Linked DNA regions of Drosophila melanogaster. The gene in region 1 interacts genetically with each later gene. Each region holds a gene or a part of one and is shown on either strand. Other genes may lie near its edges. The genes, in order: IRSp53 and ena.

Region 1 (3,928 bases):
GTACTCATATGCAGAATATCTAGTAATTACAGTACACACATACATACGCAGAAGCGCCTTTGCATCCGATAGATACAATTTTGATTAATCGCAGCAAAAAAGAGAGCAAAGAAATTAGAACGCCAGTGGAATTCGACTTGGCCTATGAGCTGGACACTACACGTAATTGCCGGTTGTGCTGGACTCTCCTCCTGGCATGTAGAGAAACTCCAGCGTTTGTAACGAACTGATAAGCGCGTAATTAACATGGTGTGGTGGTGGGGGTTGGGGGTTTTAGAGACGGGGCATGACATCTATACATCCATACCACCTGGCCAAACTGCCGTGTGCAGCAGCAGAAATATATTTTTCTTTACCCCACCATCGCCATCATCGAGAGCCAAGGTATTTTTTAAGGCGTGTTGTTTGCCGTTTTCAATAGATTTTTGTCTTTAATGACTTTTGGCCAACTGGAAACTCTTGGCCAGGCTTAATGGCTCCGATCGTTTGGCTTTTGTTCTGCACAGAATTGGCTTTGTGGCTTTCGTGGCGATTGGGTTTTGGGTTTGGGTTGGGCTTTGGTTTTGGATTTGCCAATGGGTCTACGAACTTCAGGTGTCGGCATCGGCTTTTGAGTTTGGAAAACCGCTAGCTGGTAGTCGGATAATGAGCCCGGTCAACTGTCCGGGAGATCGAGCAGGTGGCTGATGGACCAACCTAAATGGGTCGCACATGCTGGGCTAAGAAATTTGACATCGATCTACGATTGGCTGGAGTTTAACTGGTTTCTAATTTTGCTAAAAGAGTTAATAATATTGTGTGGTCAGCAGGGAATTCCAACGGAAGAAAGCTATTACTTAGTACATCTTTGGTTCACTATGATAACTCTATTACAAGAAATAAGAAAAAATACAACAAAAAATATTGCTACTATTGAAAGGTTTCCAACTTCTATTTAAAATATTACAAAATTATTGCCGTGACATTTAGTGGATTGAAAACAATCAATTGTGCTGTGTAGAAACTACAAAAACCTAAATACACACAATTTGGCTACCAAACATTTCATTCAGAATGCCGCATTAAAGTCAAATACACTTGCTAATAATTTCGCTTTGGCTTGAATGGCTGAAACGTTTTAAACCTATTGAATAAACAGGGTTTCGAACAATGCAAAACAAAGGCTCAAATACCGGGGAACTCATTAAATAAAATGAGAACAAGCCGTTCGGCTCGCCAGACTGAGATGGAGAAACAAAAAAAAAAAAAAAACAATCAACCACAAGAAGTTGGTGCAAAATAAAGTCTAACACAAAAAAAAAAACGAAAGATAAAAAACAATAACAGCGACTACAACATCAACAGGGAAAAAAAAACCCCCAGATGAAAAGTTCAATGCACGCAAATCGGATTAAGCAAAGAAATTAAGTAATACTTGTACTAGTGGAAATCCATTGAACTGCAAGTGGTGTTCATAGAAAAGTGGCAAATAGAAAGGTGGGCCGGATATTGAACGGAAGTTGCACGCCCACCCAGTTATTACAATATAGATATAGAATAGTTGGATAGATAGGTCAGTAAAGTCAAAACCATTACCTTTTAATCGCCAGAAATGTGTGTTCAGTACAAATCCGAATGTGTAAATCCAAAAATGACACTAAGCAAGTTTCTCAATTCTCACAATTATGTTTTGGTTCAAAAATCCGAGCACTTAGCACTCCGAATGTCGAATTTTTGGGATCGTTACGAGTTTAGAGTGAACCAAACCGGGTTTTTTTTTTGTTTTGTTTAGAATCACGCCGTATCGGGAATAGCGAACCGAACGCATCGAAGCTTAAAACTCAACTGATTCCAAGTTGCGGCTACCGTTTTCTTCGAGCGCCACGCGCTCAAAAGCTTTCCCACCAAAGCTTTTTCACATGGAACAAAACTTTTGTTGGGCTTTCTTGACCATTTCGATTAAGCCAAAAAGTTGACATCTTTCTGGCCCGAAGTTATAGCGAGCTATAAGCCGAAATACTATGTTTTATCTTTAACAACAATCTTAAAGTTAAATATTTACTTAAGTGTTGTGTTTTTCAGACTTTCACCGACCCAATGGTATGTGGACTAAAAAATGTTTAATTCCAAATATACAAGTACTAAGAAATAATATTACTCATCCGCCACGTTAAACATGTGCATATAGTTCTCAAAAGCCATTTTGCAAAAGTGCAAACTTATGACAATAATCAAGAATAACTATTGAACCATAACTATTAGTCTACTCCACATATTACTAAGTAATCCTCTAAGTATAAGTCCATCAGTTAGCTTTATATCGTTTTCTGCATGGTATTTATATGGAATTAATGCTTGTTTAGTTTTTGAAAGCATAGTTTGTAAAAAACAAAACCCAATAATTAAACAAAAAATTTTAAATATGTTTTTATTTAAATATTGCGAACTTAATAAGAGTAAAGTAACATTAGGATTAACAAGGTGCGTGTGGGTCGTTCATGTAGATCTTCAGGGTCTGCGGTGTTCCAAACGAGATGTCCTTCTTATTCCCAACTCGATCGGTTCTTCCTCTTTCCATCACGTGAGTGGCGGAACTTGCGGCGTCGGTTCGACTTGTGGGTCTTCTTCTTGTAGTGGACAACGGTAGCCTTCTTCTTTGGTTTCTTGGTGGTGGGAGTCACGGTGGTGCTGCTTCCGGTTGCCGAAGGCGAAGTGGTGGACGTGTCTGTATCAGTGGTCGGAATAGTGACCGAAGGAATAGTGACCGATGGAATAGTGACCGATGAAACAGTGACCGATGAAACAGTGACCGTGGCGGGAGAAGTCAGTGCCCAGGCAGTCGAAACGAAAGCCGCGATGGCAAGGAAGATAGTTAGCTGGGATCGCATCTTGAACAATGTTTTAGACTGCTATGACTGATGTGCTTCTTTCTGGGCGAAGCTGGCGTATATATAGCCAAATCAAGAGGAAGATCTCATATATGTTTTCCCTAAGCAAACAGCAAACAGTCGTTTTAAATCGAATCGGAATGTGATGTTTTAGTAAATTTGGGTTGCTTAAACAGAGATCAATACCACATTTTCGCAATGTATAATTAGGCTATTTATACAGAGGCTCACTTAATTATACGCCATTCATTTATTTTTAAAATACTAATTTCTTAGAGAAACGGATGTAAGTTGGGTGGGTAGCCAAAGTATTGAAATAAAAGATTTTTTTTTGTGTCATAACTTCGTATTTATTTTCCGTATAACTACATAGTGAAATACTTTACGAACTGACTCTCAATGGAATGTAAATTTAAATCGGACTGGAGAGCCTTATACATAAGGTTTTGAATTGTTACGAACCGAACTTGGAACCAAGTGTACGAATTGTAAATAAAGACGGCAATTTAAATTGACACGAAAAAAAAAGATAATATAAAATAAAAATTGGTCTTACCACAACGTATAAACATTTTCTGTTGCACATAGTTTGTATTTTATTCAAATGTTTTGCTCTGATCTATTAATTGGTGTAAAATAACTTGAGTGGTTGGGACTAACTTTACAAATGAGTCTCAAATGCATTTTAAGTAATGTGAAGTTCGGGTATAAACTAATCAAATCGAGGTGTATAGATATAAAATCAAATCACGGCTTTGCTTGGCGTACACACATATTAAATAATATTAATATCAGTTAGACTCAGAGACGTTCTATGAGCTAAATACAATGCTTTAGTTAGGCGAGTAATTTAGTTAAGATTTTACCACTTTTTCTTGAGTTTCCTTTTGCGTGTTTAATATTTAAGTTTTGTGTTTTCCAACTTGTACAATTACGAAACATTATTTTGGTTTTGCAATTACAATTAATAATTGAATGGCAATCTCTGTTCCATCTTTAGGCCCCACCCATGTCGTCCACGGCGATGGCACACAGCACGTACATCATTCCGGCGCTGAGGA
Region 2 (3,928 bases), on another chromosome or scaffold:
CGCCTGTTTATTAAATGCGTCTATTTCGATCAGTGAAGTGCTCCCTAATTGCAGTACCATAATTGCCGGCTTATCGTGTGCATTAATCAAATCGAATTTCGGTGAAAGAACCGTTTTCGAAAAAAAAATGAAAAATCCTCCAAGAAAAGTTCTTATGTTTACCGGTACAAAATGAAACGAGTTCTGAGTTTACCCGGTCTTATTTGTGTTTGAGTTTAAGTCACCACGAATGTGGATATATGTAAATAAGTAAATATGAGTGGTTCGTCGGAACGTTCAACGTTAATCCTTTTGGCTACGAGCTTGATTGAAGTCGGTATCCATAAGCTGAATGGATCCCAACATATCGTCGTCACCTGTGCCAGTGGAATGGAAGGTCTGCGATGAGGTGCTGCAATGTGACCCAAATCCAGGCTTTGGTCGGTACTTATAAGTTAAGAAAAAAGTTGGTGTACAAAAAATGTGAATGAATGTATTTTAGATTAAATTTTTACCATCATAAACAAATTCGTTTACAGTTTCCTTTCTGAATTTGTGGTTTGCAACACCTTATAAGATCAACATAAATGTTGAAACTAACTGAGCACGGATTTTCTCGCAGTGCAGGCACGGCAGGAAGCGCTCCTCCCGTGACGAGTTCATCGCGCAGTGATATTCGATATTGATTGAGACCCCCACTTGTCCCCCAGCACTTCTTGATGTTTGCCATGGGCAAACTGTTTTGAGTCTCCTGACTGCCTGGCAACCTACTTTGTGACTCCGCTGCTCACATGTGTGGGCCCTGTTTGTTTTTATGATTTTTTTTTTTCCAGTCCGATGTCTGCCTGCGGGTCTTTATGGACAGCCATATGGATTACTCCAGTACTCGCATTCGTAGTGCCCCTTAGAAATATTTAGTTGCCAAATCATTTAAGCCGCGGCACACGCTCTGGTCCAAAAAAAAAAAAAAACAAAACAAAAATGGTAAAAAAAAAAAACGAACTGAACCATTCTGACAGAGCCATTAAAGCTAGCCGGTAATCGGTTGGCTCAAATCAGAGATCGGTGAACCACCAACAGCCACTACACAACCACTTACAATGGGCCACAATAATGTTAATTGGAAATAACGTTTAGGAATTGTTGTGGGGCAAAAAACCGAATCAGACTGAAACATAAGCCAGCGAGTCAGAAACAGAGGCTCAGATCTCTGAGAGCTGAGTGCTCCAAGTTGAGATAGACAATGTTGTATATGAATTTTTCATAACATGCTACAAGCTGTGCCTCCAGGTACCTCCCCCCCCCCATTTCCCGCCGCCGTCGCCGCTTTTCGCCGCCAAAGAACAGTTGAAATGAAGGAAACAAAAACGCAGCGAGCGAGGGAAAAATACTTGTAATAGTCACTCGAGGGGGAAATATAAATTATTGAGCTCGTTTCTTAAGTAATTATCGCACTGACGGACGGAACCAACTTACTGAATCACAAACACTGACCGAATGACTAACTGGCGGATGGACAGACTGACCAACTGGTTAAACGACGGTCACGAGACGTCGGCGAGGCTTCAAGATTGCCGGCAGAAAAAAGCCTCGGGCGCAACTTTGTAAGATTCGAGAGCTTATCGCATACCCTTCGAAACTGCATAAGAAATTTGAGATGGAACTTGCGCAATTTCATAGCTAGGCGAAAAGTTGTAAGGGTATGCCCTACAATTCATTGTATCATTGTAGCTCTCTGAAGATATTGCATATTTTAGGGAAACTGCTTGAAACTCTGTTTCAGTGCCTGAAAACTTCTCAAAATATAAACTTTTGAGTATTAAAATAAAATCGCCTTTCAATAATCTGAATCTTACATCCTTCCCTCAACGAAAATCGTGTAAAACGAGAACGTTTTTTCTCAATAGGTTCTATGCAGACTACTTGCCCTCACGTCTTTTAATTGTCATGCCATTTGGGAATCGTCTGAAGCGACTGTGAGTCAGGTTGTGGTCTCTCCATCTACCTGGCCATTATGCTCGGTTCCCAGCTCGGGGTCAATCCAGCTCAACATCCATAGCACATCTCATCATTTCTCATTATTTTATTGACTTTGAAGTGTAATTATTTGCCTTTTAGACGAATTCAAAGCGCAGCAGCCGCTAAAATGAGAGAAAAATACAGATTGTGAGCCGATACTCAGTTTCTCGCTCACGTCTTTTCTGCTCATTCGCCTTTAGATATATTTTTTTTCTCGGCTTTTGTTTGTCTTGGCCTCGACTGAGAGACCGTTTCGGTCTCTGAGACCCAGTCGCGATCTCGGTCTGGATCTTGGCTTTAGTCTCCAGCGGGTCTTGAGTGCGTTCAGACGTGTGCAGCTGAGATCTTGGAACGACGAATGGTGATCGGTGATCTCTGATCAGTGACCAGTGGGCAGAGAGCGAATAGCCAAGATCCAAGAGCCTAGGCAAACATAAATACGATACATCCGATCCGATCCGATCGTTCGGTTTCATAGTGTGCTTAAGTGTGGGATCGATCGTGGGATCTGTTTAGTGTCTGTGACGCCTCTGCAAATATTGGCCAACGGTTAATGGCCATGAAGAAGCTCTACGCGAAGACCTCGTTCACCAGCAAGAAGCCATCGAGTGCCGCCAATTCCACTCCGATATTGGCCTACCACCAGCAACAGCATCAGCAGCCGGGCAATGGCATTTGCGAGTTCCAGGTGGTGGCACCTGGTCACTCCGGTGAGCTAATGATACGCCGCAGCCAAAGTATGCACCACAAGATGTCGCCTCCAGTCGGCGGCCTGGGCTCCAAGTCGGAGTACTACAGCATTGAGGAGCTGCAGGAGCTGGATTTGCTGGACTATCGTCATCCCATGTACCATCATTATCAGCAGCAGGAGCTGAGGCAGCGCTACCATGAGCACGAGCAGTTGGTGCTGCAGTTACCCAAGGCTACTAGTCCAAAGGCAGGACCCATCTATGAGGCACCACAGAGATCTCAGCAGCAGCAGGATCAGATGTTGTATGTACCAACGGCAGCGCAAAGAGATTCATCATCAAGTGCTGCAGCCACATCTATAGCCAGCTCATCTACCCTAACTTCATCCCCATCGCCATCCTCCTCTTCATCTCTGATCTTTTCCACTTTGCGCAAATGCGTTTCGCCCTCGAATCCCTCGGTGAATCCGAACCAACCCTCAAAAACTCAACCCTCCAAACTGGGCTGTTCCATGTCGTTTTCAATTAGAACGACAACGGCAACAGCAGCCACAGCCGCAGCAGCAAATGCAGCAACAGCAACACTATCGACACAGCAGCAACAACAGCAGGCACAGCAGCAACACAAGCAACATCTCTATAGCAACATACATCATTATCTGATCCGACAACAACAGCAGAAACAACACTACACATTACAACGTCGCCATAATTCGGTCAAAGATAAATTCATTGGGGGCATTACAACGATTTTTGCGTATGTGTAACCCACTTCCCTATGCGTCTGTCCTTGGTTGGGTTCTGTAATAATTCCCATATTTCCCCACTTTTCTCTACTATACTTCTTCAATCTCAGCACGTAGTACTTGGCCCTGGACTTTTGAATGCGTTTTACAGCTTGGTGAGATCGTTCGTAAATCAAAGAACTCTTAACCCCCACAGAGCAGCCGCCGTCGTACTCTCCGGTTTAATCATAATTATAATTTAACGCCAATTAAGCTGGAAAACGCTATCGTGTGCACACGAATCTGCATCTTGCACTCGGCTGCAGTTTAAAAACTTAAGCTTAACGCACGAATAAATCCCCAAGGCATAGAAAATTTCACCTGCCACATATTGAAAATGCTCCCAAAGCGATTTTCCAGTGGCTCAATTATATTAGCATCCCATTTAACTGGCCATTTGCGGGGCACTTTTCGATTTTCATTTGGGTTTTCCACTCAGCTGCACAGCGCAAAAAA

What was found.
Region 2: of IRSp53 (region 1) and ena, changing one enhances a phenotype caused by changing the other (phenotypic enhancement), as found in Drosophila melanogaster (one study listed by BioGRID).

What each region holds. Positions count from the first base shown.
Region 1 is NT_037436.4:11,133,936-11,137,863, reverse strand, and holds the start of IRSp53 (insulin receptor substrate 53 kDa), read right to left. Parts: upstream 1,816-3,928; 5' UTR 1,576-1,815; intron 1-1,575. Other genes in the region: CG14143 (uncharacterized protein), read right to left, coding at 2,523-2,867; NaPi-III (Na[+]-dependent inorganic phosphate cotransporter type III), read right to left, coding at 3,864-3,928.
Region 2 is NT_033778.4:19,152,924-19,156,851, forward strand, and holds the start of ena (enabled), read left to right. Parts: upstream 1-2,297; 5' UTR 2,298-2,551; coding exon 2,552-3,444; intron 3,445-3,928. UniProt on the Drosophila melanogaster protein: Functions, together with Abl, trio and fra, in a complex signaling network that regulates axon guidance at the CNS midline. Required in part for robo-mediated repulsive axon guidance. May be involved in lamellipodial dynamics.